Linked DNA regions of Saccharomyces cerevisiae S288C. The protein of the gene in region 1 interacts with the protein of each later gene in a biochemical or structural test. Each region holds a gene or a part of one and is shown in the gene's direction. Other genes may lie near its edges.

What was found. The genes of interacting proteins can lie anywhere in the genome.
Region 2: the proteins of GRX3 (region 1) and AFT2 form a complex in vitro, tested with the Saccharomyces cerevisiae proteins (2 studies listed by BioGRID).
Region 3: the proteins of GRX3 (region 1) and BOL2 form a complex in vitro, tested with the Saccharomyces cerevisiae proteins (4 studies listed by BioGRID).

Annotation. Positions count from the first base shown.
Region 1 is NC_001136.10:643,678-650,631, reverse strand, and holds GRX3 (monothiol glutaredoxin GRX3), read left to right. Parts: upstream 1-5,701; coding exon 5,702-6,454; downstream 6,455-6,954. Other genes in the region: YDR098C-A (gag protein), read left to right, coding at 1-828; mismatch repair ATPase MSH6, read left to right, coding at 6,795-6,954.
Region 2 is NC_001148.4:167,588-171,467, reverse strand, and holds AFT2 (Aft2p), read left to right. Parts: upstream 1-2,129; coding exon 2,130-3,380; downstream 3,381-3,880. Other genes in the region: YIG1 (Yig1p), read left to right, coding at 313-1,698. UniProt on the Saccharomyces cerevisiae protein: Transcription factor required for iron homeostasis and resistance to oxidative stress. With AFT1, activates the gene expression in response to low-iron conditions, also called iron regulon.
Region 3 is NC_001139.9:80,469-83,236, forward strand, and holds BOL2 (Bol2p), read left to right. Parts: upstream 1-1,905; coding exon 1,906-2,268; downstream 2,269-2,768. Other genes in the region: EDC1 (Edc1p), read right to left, coding at 191-718; NIF3 (uncharacterized protein), read right to left, coding at 958-1,824; ERMES complex subunit MDM34, read right to left, coding at 2,410-2,768. UniProt on the Saccharomyces cerevisiae protein: Involved in the regulation of the iron regulon in response to decreased mitochondrial iron-sulfur cluster synthesis. May be involved in mitochondrial organization and biogenesis.

The DNA of each region.
Region 1 (6,954 bases):
AAAAAATATGTCAGACCACCACCAATGTTAACCTCACCTAATGACTTTCCAAATTGGGTTAAAACATACATCAAATTTTTACAAAACTCGAATCTCGGTGGTATTATTCCGACAGTAAACGGAAAACCCGTACGTCAGATCACTGATGATGAACTCACCTTCTTGTATAACACTTTTCAAATATTTGCTCCCTCTCAATTCCTACCTACCTGGGTCAAAGACATCCTATCCGTTGATTATACGGATATCATGAAAATTCTTTCCAAAAGTATTGAAAAAATGCAATCTGATACCCAAGAGGCAAACGACATTGTGACCCTGGCAAATTTGCAATATAATGGCAGTACACCTGCAGATGCATTTGAAACAAAAGTCACAAACATTATCGACAGACTGAACAATAATGGCATTCATATCAATAACAAGGTCGCATGCCAATTAATTATGAGAGGTCTATCTGGCGAATATAAATTTTTACGCTACACACGTCATCGACATCTAAATATGACAGTCGCTGAACTGTTCTTAGATATCCATGCTATTTATGAAGAACAACAGGGATCGAGAAACAGCAAACCTAATTACAGGAGAAATCCGAGTGATGAGAAGAATGATTCTCGCAGCTATACGAATACAACCAAACCCAAAGTTATAGCTCGGAATCCTCAAAAAACAAATAATTCGAAATCGAAAACAGCCAGGGCTCACAATGTATCCACATCTAATAACTCTCCCAGCACGGACAACGATTCCATCAGTAAATCAACTACTGAACCGATTCAATTGAACAATAAGCACGACCTTCATCTTAGGCCAGGAACTTACTGAATCTACGGTAAATCACACTAATCATTCTGATGATGAACTCCCTGGACACCTCCTTCTCGATTCAGGAGCATCACGAACCCTTATAAGATCTGCTCACCACATACACTCAGCATCATCTAATCCTGGCATAAACGTAGTTGATGCTCAAAAAAGAAATATACCAATTAACGCTATTGGTGACCTACAATTTCACTTCCAGGACAACACCAAAACATCAATAAAGGTATTGCACACTCCTAACATAGCCTATGACTTACTCAGTTTGAATGAATTGGCTGCAGTAGATATCACAGCATGCTTTACCAAAAACGTCTTAGAACGATCTGACGGCACTGTACTTGCACCTATCGTAAAATATGGAGACTTTTACTGGGTATCTAAAAAGTACTTGCTTCCATCAAATATCTCCGTACCCACCATCAATAATGTCCATACAAGTGAAAGTACACGCAAATATCCTTATCCTTTCATTCATCGAATGCTTGCGCATGCCAATGCACAGACAATTCGATACTCACTTAAAAATAACACCATCACGTATTTTAACGAATCAGATGTCGACTGGTCTAGTGCTATTGACTATCAATGTCCTGATTGTTTAATCGGCAAAAGCACCAAACACAGACATATCAAAGGTTCACGACTAAAATACCAAAATTCATACGAACCCTTTCAATACCTACATACTGACATATTTGGTCCAGTTCACAACCTACCAAATAGTGCACCATCCTATTTCATCTCATTTACTGATGAGACAACAAAATTCCGTTGGGTTTATCCATTACACGACCGTCGCGAGGACTCTATCCTCGATGTTTTTACTACGATACTAGCTTTTATTAAAAACCAGTTTCAGGCCAGTGTCTTGGTTATACAAATGGACCGTGGTTCTGAGTATACTAACAGAACTCTCCATAAATTCCTTGAAAAAAATGGTATAACTCCATGCTATACAACCACAGCGGATTCCCGAGCACATGGAGTCGCTGAACGGCTAAACCGTACCTTATTAGATGACTGCCGTACTCAACTGCAATGTAGTGGTTTACCGAACCATTTATGGTTCTCTGCAATCGAATTTTCTACTATTGTGAGAAATTCACTAGCTTCACCTAAAAGCAAAAAATCTGCAAGACAACATGCTGGCTTGGCAGGACTTGATATCAGTACTTTGTTACCTTTCGGTCAACCTGTTATCGTCAATGATCACAACCCTAACTCCAAAATACATCCTCGTGGCATCCCAGGCTACGCTCTACATCCGTCTCGAAACTCTTATGGATATATCATCTATCTTCCATCCTTAAAGAAGACAGTAGATACAACTAACTATGTTATTCTTCAGGGCAAGGAATCCAGATTAGATCAATTCAATTACGACGCACTCACTTTCGATGAAGACTTAAACCGTTTAACTGCTTCATATCATTCGTTCATTGCGTCAAATGAGATCCAAGAATCCAATGATCTTAACATAGAATCTGACCATGACTTCCAATCCGACATTGAACTACATCCTGAGCAACCGAGAAATGTCCTTTCAAAAGCTGTGAGTCCAACCGATTCCACACCTCCGTCAACTCATACTGAAGATTCGAAACGTGTTTCTAAAACCAATATTCGCGCACCCAGAGAAGTTGACCCCAACATATCTGAATCTAATATTCTTCCATCAAAGAAGAGATCTAGCACCCCCCAAATTTCCAATATCGAGAGTACCGGTTCGGGTGGTATGCATAAATTAAATGTTCCTTTACTTGCTCCCATGTCCCAATCTAACACACATGAGTCGTCGCACGCCAGTAAATCTAAAGATTTCAGACACTCAGACTCGTACAGTGAAAATGAGACTAATCATACAAACGTACCAATATCCAGTACGGGTGGTACCAACAACAAAACTGTTCCGCAGATAAGTGACCAAGAGACTGAGAAAAGGATTATACACCGTTCACCTTCAATCGATGCTTCTCCACCGGAAAATAATTCATCGCACAATATTGTTCCTATCAAAACGCCAACTACTGTTTCTGAACAGAATACCGAGGAATCTATCATCGCTGATCTCCCACTCCCTGATCTACCTCCAGAATCTCCTACCGAATTCCCTGACCCATTTAAAGAACTCCCACCGATAAATTCTCATCAAACTAATTCCAGTTTGGGTGGTATTGGTGACTCTAATGCCTATACTACTATCAACAGTAAGAAAAGATCATTAGAAGATAATGAAACTGAAATTAAGGTATCACGAGACACATGGAATACTAAGAATATGCGTAGTTTAGAACCTCCGAGATCGAAGAAACGAATTCACCTGATTGCAGCTGTAAAAGCAGTAAAATCAATCAAACCAATACGGACAACCTTAAGATACGATGAGGCAATCACCTATAATAAAGATATTAAAGAAAAGGAAAAATATATCGAAGCATACCACAAAGAAGTCAACCAACTATTGAAAATGAATACTTGGGACACTGACAAATATTATGACAGAAAAGAAATAGACCCTAAAAGAGTAATAAATTCAATGTTTATCTTCAACAGGAAACGTGACGGTACTCATAAAGCTAGATTTGTTGCAAGAGGTGATATTCAGCATCCTGACACTTACGACTCAGGCATGCAATCCAATACCGTACATCACTATGCATTAATGACATCCCTGTCACTTGCATTAGACAATAACTACTATATTACACAATTAGACATATCTTCGGCATATTTGTATGCAGACATCAAAGAAGAATTATACATAAGACCTCCACCACATTTAGGAATGAATGATAAGTTGATACGTTTGAAGAAATCACTTTATGGATTGAAACAAAGTGGAGCGAACTGGTACGAAACTATCAAATCATACCTGATAAAACAGTGTGGTATGGAAGAAGTTCGTGGATGGTCATGCGTATTTAAGAATAGTCAAGTAACAATTTGCTTATTCGTTGATGATATGATATTGTTCAGCAAAGACTTAAATGCAAATAAGAAAATCATAACAACACTCAAGAAACAATACGATACAAAGATAATAAATCTGGGTGAAGGTGATAACGAAATTCAGTACGACATACTTGGATTAGAGATCAAATATCAAAGAAGCAAGTACATGAAATTAGGTATGGAAAAATCCTTGACAGAAAAATTACCCAAACTAAACGTACCTTTGAACCCAAAAGGAAAGAAACTTAGAGCTCCAGGTCAACCAGGTCATTATATAGACCAGGATGAACTAGAAATAGATGAAGATGAATACAAAGAGAAAGTGCATGAAATGCAAAAGTTGATTGGTCTAGCTTCATATGTTGGATATAAATTTAGATTTGACTTACTATACTACATCAACACACTTGCTCAACATATACTATTCCCCTCTAGGCAAGTTTTAGACATGACATATGAGTTAATACAATTCATGTGGGACACTAGAGATAAACAATTAATATGGCACAAAAACAAACCTACCAAGCCAGATAATAAACTAGTCGCAATAAGCGATGCTTCATATGGTAACCAACCATATTACAAGTCACAAATTGGTAACATTTTCCTACTCAACGGAAAAGTGATTGGAGGAAAGTCGACAAAGGCTTCGTTAACATGCACTTCAACTACAGAAGCAGAAATACACGCAGTCAGTGAAGCTATTCCGCTATTGAATAACCTCAGTCACCTTGTGCAAGAACTTAACAAGAAACCAATTATTAAAGGCTCACTTACTGATAGTAGATCAACGATCAGTATAATTAAGTCTACAAATGAAGAGAAATTTAGAAACAGATTTTTTGGCACAAAGGCAATGAGACTTAGAGATGAAGTATCAGGTAATAATTTATACGTATACTACATCGAGACCAAGAAGAACATTGCTGATGTGATGACAAAACCTCTTCCGATAAAAACATTTAAACTATTAACAAACAAATGGATTCATTAGATCTATTACATTATGGGTGGTATGTTGGAATAAAAATCAACTATCATCTACTAACTAGTATTTACGTTACTAGTATATTATCATATACGGTGTTAGAAGATGACGCAAATGATGAGAAATAGTCATCTAAATTAGTGGAAGCTGAAACGCAAGGATTGATAATGTAATAGGATCAATGAATATTAACATATAAAACGATGATAATAATATTTATAGAATTGTGTAGAATTGCAGATTCCCTTTTATGGATTCCTAAATCCTCGAGGAGAACTTCTAGTATATTCTGTATACCTAATATTATAGCCTTTATCAACAATGGAATCCCAACAATTATCTAATTACCCACATATATCTCAATAACAAAACGAACAACATGAGATAAAACACGGCCTTCCCTAGCTGAACTACCCAAACGTATAAATGCTTGAACAATTAGTTTAGATCCGAGATTCCGCGCTTCCACCACTTAGTATGATTCATATTTTATATAATATATAAGATAAGTGACATTCCGTGAATTAATCTGATAAACTGTTTTGACAACTGGTTACTTCCCTAAGACTGTTTATATTAGGATTGTCAAGACACTGCGGTATTACTCGAGCCCGTAATACAACAATACACAGTTGTTACGGTCCTATAGTGTAGTGGTTATCACTTTCGGTTTTGATCCGGACAACCCCGGTTCGAATCCGGGTAGGACCTTTTTTAACTGTGGCTTCTCTGTTGAACCATCAGTTACTTTTTTTTTTTTTCAGAGAATGTGTGCCGGGTCATGAGATGCCAAACTAAGAGGTCATTAAAATATATTTCAAAGACTAAATGTGTTCTTTTCAGGTTCCATCTGCATTTTCTTTTAACTACACCTCGTACTGTTATAAACGCCACCAAGCAAGATATTACACAGCAGCAAAACTTTTTCAGGAAATGCCTGTTATTGAAATTAACGATCAAGAGCAATTTACTTACCTAACTACCACTGCGGCCGGCGACAAGTTAATCGTGCTTTATTTCCATACCAGTTGGGCAGAACCATGCAAAGCATTAAAGCAGGTTTTTGAGGCCATTAGTAATGAGCCTTCCAATTCCAACGTCTCTTTCTTATCCATTGATGCGGACGAAAACTCGGAAATTTCAGAACTTTTTGAAATCTCAGCTGTTCCATATTTTATCATAATTCACAAAGGGACAATCTTAAAAGAATTATCCGGCGCGGATCCAAAGGAGTATGTGTCTTTATTAGAAGACTGCAAGAACTCAGTCAATTCCGGATCATCACAAACTCATACTATGGAAAATGCAAACGTAAATGAGGGGAGTCATAATGATGAAGACGATGACGACGAAGAAGAGGAAGAAGAAACTGAGGAGCAAATAAACGCTAGATTGACTAAATTGGTCAATGCCGCGCCGGTAATGTTATTTATGAAGGGGAGCCCCTCTGAACCTAAATGCGGGTTTTCGAGACAACTTGTGGGTATCTTGAGAGAACATCAAGTAAGATTTGGCTTCTTTGATATATTAAGAGACGAATCTGTTAGACAAAACTTGAAAAAGTTTTCTGAATGGCCAACTTTCCCTCAACTTTATATAAATGGGGAGTTTCAAGGCGGTTTAGACATTATCAAGGAATCCTTGGAGGAAGACCCTGATTTTTTGCAGCATGCTCTCCAATCTTAAATAAATAGATGTATTTAGTGTAAATTGAAACAGAAAAGTCTCCATTTCCAACTAATGGTATGCAAGCATTTTTATATGTGTGACATAATGAATGGCTTCTGGTTAAGTTTGGCTTTTTGAACAACCATTGCCCGGAGAAAATAAACGCGTGAGCAGTAGCTGATACGCGTCTCACTTTTTCATAAATTCATGTATAGGTCATCGCCATATAGAGAAAATATTTGAAATTACATCTGTTGAAACTAATAAGAGCTTTTCCTTGGAGCCTTCTTTGCTAACAGATAAGATTTTTTAATTGGAGCAACTAGTTAATTTTGACAAAGCCAATTTGAACTCCAAAATGGCCCCAGCTACCCCTAAAACTTCTAAGACTGCACACTTCGAAAATGGCTCCACATCTTCTCAAAAGAAAATGAAGCAATCGAGTTTGTTATCTTTTTTCTCAAAACAGGTACCTTCTGGCACACCGTCAAAGAAGGTCCAGAAGCCTACTCCAGCGA
Region 2 (3,880 bases), on another chromosome or scaffold:
TGCAATATTGCCTTTTGGGAAGAAGGATCGAAAGTAGCCATTTGCAGACACGTTTTTACTATATTTACTGTATCTTCGATTGCGCGGCTAAAGTTGCCATATTATTATTATATTGCAGCTCAACCCCGCATTTCCGGAGTTTTCTTTTTTTTTATTTGGGGTAATTTGGAGGTCGGCGGCTATTGGTGGGCCGGAAATGGTGACACACTTGTAATATATAAGGAGGAAATCCTACATGTGTATAAGCGAAATCACAAGGATAATAATGTATTGCTAAACACCCTCAAGAAAGAAAATAATCATAACGAAATCATGGGTATACCTATGCAAATATACCAGGATGGGAAGGGGGTGCAATTTTACCACACGAGATATCAGAACGTATTTGACGAACGGGCGAGCAAGTATGGCAACTACACGGTGAATAATGATTACCCACAGCTTCCAGATACGATAAAGGAACATATCGACCAGCTTACCTTTAGCAATGTCGGAGAGGATGGTGGAGATGTTGGAAACTATTCTGAAGAAGACGATGATGGTGACGAAGAAAAGGAACTTGAAGATGTTTTTCGAAGTAACCGTGGGTTGGAATTTGTACGGATTAATAACTATTTTACTACCCACGATTTACAAAGTTTCAAAAGTTTTAGAAATTTCAATAGCAAGTACTGGATTTTTTATTCTAATCAAGCAGAGGACAAAAAATTACTGCTGTATGACTTTAACGGCCAACATTTGATTTTTATTAAGCAGCAATTTTACGGGCAGTTGAATTTACTGCTATCGGACGCAATAATATGTATGGACTGCAATTTTGGTTATAATTCAAACACCATTCAAATTTTAGTTGGATTTCAGAATGGAAAGTTGTTAAAGCTAAACTGCGACTTGAACGGAAACGTAAACAATCACTTGCTTTTGAAGGATCCTTCAACTTCCTCTCATCAAAGCCACCTATCTATATTAAATGTCTGGGCAGGTTTGTTGCCACATTTCGTTGTTTCTTTTAGTTTGAAAGATGGGCTGCTAATAACTTCTTTAGATCACCAACAAAGCAATGGAAGTTTTCAAAGTTTCCATACCAACATTGATTTGCCTGTAGATCTACGCACGACCACAAATGTCAAGTCCGTTTTAAATTTCCCTCAGTTTACTTTATACAAAGGAAATGATATGATTTTCCACTGCAAGAATCTATTAGGATCGGATGCTTCCACGCTAAACAAGGAAATAAACTTTATGCTTAAAATAGACGAAGACGTTCAAAAGATCGACTATCTTCTTAAAACGAATCACATTTTACTCGAAACCAACATGAGATATCTGTCCATTCCAACAAGAGACCCCATAGAGAATTCAAATTCTTCTCCACCCGTCTCAGACAGCGAGGTTTATCCAATATTTTACAAGACACAAGAACTTCATGTCCATGCTTCAGGAACAGGACGTCAGATAGCAAACAATGGGAAGTATATTTTTATAACCGAGCAACATCTCTACGGAACAGCGTTATCGGTATACAAGTACTCTATATCTTTCAAACGGTGGCTGTTCGTGGGCTACTCAGACATTAGGGCCAAATACGGTATAAGGAGTGTCAAAGATCTCTTTGTTGGTAACTGTCCCTCTGTAAATAGCCCAGTGCTGACAATTCTTACTGATGACAATAACATTCAAACAATTCTTCTTAAATAAAGGTTAAGGAAATGTAAATAAAAAAAATAACAGTGACATTAATTTGTATATATCTCAACTTCTTCACTTTAACCTGTCTGAGCTGTTTGGTTTTGAACTGGAAGCACGTTTCTCATTTTATTGAACGATACCAGAGCCATTCATTATTCGATTGACGGTAAGCGGTATTGTGCGAAAAGCAAAGGGAAAAAATAGAAAGAACAAAAAAAAGAAAGAAAAAAGCACCGTAAAAAAAAAAATCGTTTCGTGGGCCGAGATCGGTAAAGTGGCTTTCTTTTAGTCAGAATTGATTTTCTTTTGATTAAGGCAAAAACTGTGCAAATTAAACTGATGGACCTATACATAATAGTGAACACGACTCATTCAAAAAATTTGTTGTAGTGACCAGAAACTCTGGCGCAAATTAATCAAGAGAAAGCGACCCCCAAGAAATGAAAGCAAAGTCGATGAAGAGCATAATATCTGTGCCAATATCAGTGTCTAAAACAGGGAAAATGAAGTTAACAGCATCTCCCGATAATCTAGCATCTATGATGTCTAAAGACCAAAATAAACTTATTCATTTAGACCCAGTTCCGTCTTTTGAGGACAGGCACGAGATTAAACCGTGGCTACAGAAAATATTCTATCCTCAAGGAATAGATATAGTCATCGAAAGATCAGATAGTAGCAAAGTTACTTTTAAGTGTAGGTCAGTACGATCGAAAGTAGGGTTGAACCCTAAATCCAAAGGTTCCTCTTCAAGATCCCATGCATGTCCATTTAGAATTAGAGCAGCCTACTCTGTGCGGTTACAGAAGTGGAACGTGGTTGTTATGAATAACATACATTCACATGAGCTGAGATTTGATTTGATTACTAAAACGGATGACTATAAAAAGTTTAAGGAAAATCTTCGTCAGAAGAACGACGAAAAAGCCATCAAAACATTTGATGAATTAGAATATAAAGCAAGTCTAAACTTACCACTCGTCACACCAATTATTTCTTGTGACTGTGGGTTAACCAAGGAAATTGAAGCTTTCAATAACATTTTTCTCCCACTATCAAACCCCCCTTTGACGTCTAAAAAAAATTTGCTCAAAACAAATAAAAACTCCGTTTCTAAAATAAAATCCAGACAGATGGATAATTCGAAACCTAGGCCAAGGTTGAAAACGAAGTTGGATGCGGATCTACATGATACCGGATTTTTAGACAATTTCAAAACGCGGAATTCCTGTGTAAAGATAGAGAAAGAAGATTCTTTAACGAACTTAAACGAAATTGATTTTACGAACATGTTTTGCAACGACAATTTCATCCAAAATTACAACCAAGGCCTGATGGAACTTTTGACAGAACCTACACCAGGTCCTTCGTCCTCTTCTTGTATACTTCCTTCAACACCAACGAGGCCCTTGTCACAAAGCAAAATGGATATAGCCCTGTCAGAATCAACAACATCTTCACCAAATTTTATGGAAACAGACGCTCCTTATGGAGATGAGATCATTAAAGTTTCCAAAGATACCAAAAGCAACGCACCAACTGCTGATACAGATATTGCTACGAACTTAGGCAAAGAGAGAAACGAAAATTTTGGCATGTTAAACTACAACTACGAAGCGTTGCTTCATTTCAACGATGAGCATTTTAATGAATTAAATTCTATTGACCCAGCCTTAATATCAAAATATTAATTATTTAGTTTTCAACTCATTAAAACGGTATCACGTTTAAATATGTGACAAGATCTGATGGACATGAATAATGGTGATATCAGCACCATCGAGGGATTTTGGACCTTAGACTTTTTAAAGCTACGGAGGACTTAAAGCATGTCGATACAAATAAGATATATCATGGCTTCATGCGCTCAAAAGTTTTATTCTTCAAGTTTGTTGATTATAATATGGTTCACGTGCGCTTCATCTTTTCATAGGTAATGCACCGCAACATTCAATTATCTAAAAAACTTTCAGGCGTGCCGGTCCCCTAATTTTTGCACTGAGATCATGAGATCAGTAAGTAAAAGCTCATATAGGAAATAATCATATAGAAAAAAGCAGAGGAATGATATTCGAACATTTTCTATACATCACCCCTCCTATTTTTAGATGAATCTCTAAGATCTAAATGCCCTCAACTTAAATATGATATTGAATTAAAATGAATTGTAGTATAGAAGATATTTAGGGCA
Region 3 (2,768 bases), on another chromosome or scaffold:
ATGAACTGTAACAGAAAATAGGAAAAAAAAATTGTCATCTGAGAAATTGCTTTGGATGACCAGATCCAAAACAGACATAAGCATTCGTATAATTGGTACATAGGTATATATCAAATAAAAATATGCATTATTCTAAAAAAAAAAAAAAAAAAAAAAAAAAAAAAATCAAAAATGTCTCTCTAAAGGGTGATTATAAAAAACTTGGTTTGGGCAAGTTTTTAGCCTCCCTTGGACCATTAGTGGCGAAAGTGGAGCCTGCATAAGAGTGACTGAGTTTTTTGGCACTGCCATTACAACCCATTGGTATTATCCCTTGAGAGCCATGCGGGGATTGTTTCTGGTTCAGAAGCAGATTCTTTAGGTTCTGACTCAGTAAACGAGTATCATCTTTGTTGTTCTGTCGTGGCGTTTCTTTATTATTCTGTCTGTTTTTTTTACCTAAAGTAGTTGTAGAGGAAGGGGAAGAAGGTGGAGAGTGCTTCTTTTGATTAAATGATGGTTTCTTGTTGGAAGAATGGCCGAAGTTAGGTTTCTGACCGTTAGGAAGAGTTTGAGGAGGTGGTATATCTGTGATATAGTTGTTATTATTGGCGTTCTTAGCAGCATTTCCCCTCGCACGATTATTTCTAGTTTTTTGTTTGATTAGATTATTTGTCTTGTTCCTGCCAGCCGATGGCAACAGCCTGGAGCTGTTGAAATACATGGTATCCGTCGACATGCCTTGTAATATTTGTGTGAGTATATTTGTGTGCTAAGTGTAATTACGTTACGCTTTGCTGAGTACTTCGTCTTCAATACAGAGTATGTTATTGTCCTTGTTATTTGAAGACTTTTACCTTTTCTATCCGTATTTCTCTATCCGATACAACAACATCATTTTACACGAACAGCCGGATGATAAAACTGTAGTACGTATGGTATTTGTGATATCCTATATAGCCATATAATTACTAGCAGCTATGCAACAGTCAAAGGATCGCAATCCATTTTGCTTACGACTACTTCGTGGCCCTCATCTTGCAACAAGCCCTTCATAACGTCTTGAAGGAATCCACGCTCAGTATTTGAGTGGTTGCAAACAATAACGGTCTTGCCCATTTCTTTCCACTTCAGTACTTCATGATGTGACATTTCTCCCGTATAGTAAAGGTCTACGTCCTCTTTTAGTTGCTTAAACACGCCAGAACCGCTCCCGGCACAGACAGCGACTTTTTTGATTTTGAGTTGATTCCATGCGGATGGAGCAGCAAGAGATGCTACTTGTACATAGGGAACCCGTAAAACACGCTTGACATTTTTGACAATTTGCTCCAAAGAGATGTCTTTATTGAATTCTACGAATCTACCGTAGCCAATCAAGTCGTCAGTTTCGCCACTTACAGTTTCCAAGGCATAAGACTTTGCGACGTTCTCTCCGTTGTTCAAACCCCTAACCAACCAGTCATTTACACCGCCACGAGCGGCATCTACGGCAGTGTGAGGGCAGTATACGGATATTCCGTACTGGATTAGCTTTATAGCTGTCTCGTGTTGTGGGTTTGTATGTGGGCTTAATCTGTTCCAGCTTGGGAAAATAAAAGGATGGTAAGCAACAATTACGTTGCAGTTAGCATCCACAGCTTCTTGAGCAACTGACTTCGTGAGGTCTACAGTCAAAAGGACCTTTGTTTTAGCGTTTGCATCGGCAGTGGTGACTTGTGCAGTGGAACAATCGATGAGAAGACCCGTATTGTCCCAGCTCTTGTCTGCGTACTTTTGAGGGTAGAACTTGGTAATGCTACGCACAAGTTTGTCCAATTGTGCTCTAGTAATAGCTCTGCTCATTGCGTTTCGGTGGACTCTTGTTCTGTTTCCTTCCGACTGTGTATTGGAATAAGTTTTTCGGTGTTATATATATACATATATATGACAGGTGAAAGAATTGAAAAGGTGAAAATAAATGACGAATTTGCAAAATCACATTTCCTAACAACTCAGTGGAGAGAAACAAAGCGCCAACGACACTATAAGATGCCCGTTACTGAACAGGGACTCCGCGAGAGGATAGAATCAGCCATACCGCAAGTTTACCATATCATTGTGACGGATCTTTCGTACGGTTGTGGTCAGTCGTTTGATATTGTGGTGGTCAGCGACTTCTTTCAAGGTAAAAGCAAACTAATGAGGAGTCGTGCAGTGAACAAGGCTGTGAAAGAAGAGCTGCAGGAGATTCATGCCTTTAGCTGCAAGTGCTACACTGAGGAGGAATGGTCTAAGATTGTGGTATGAAAAGGATGATATTGTTCTATTATTAAGTTTCGAAAGGAGACGGCATTGAATCTTTTTGGCATAGACGATTTTGCTTTCTTACGTTATTTACATCGGAGAGTATGTATTTGTGTAGTTATGTACTTAGATATGTAACTTAATTTAATGATATGGTGGGGGGCTATCCTCCATGCCCCATTTCCAGTTATTTGAAGGTTCTTGCGAGTTCAAACCTATGAAGTAAAACGGTTTCTTTTTAGATGTATCTTTCTTGGAGTCCAAATTTAGCGATATTTTTTCTGGTATAACGTATTTATCCCTTATCGATACTGTTGTTTTCAAATATGGGGGAGATTGTTCTTCAAGCTCGGGTATCGGTGTTTGGACCGGTGTGGACGTAACTGTTTCAATAGCAGTACTATCATCAACAGCCTGTTCTCCTTGTGATTGTAGGTTCGATGGTGTGCGGGTCTTTTTGCATTTGATCTTTCTTCTCCTTGGTTTGGCATTGTCGTCGTTGC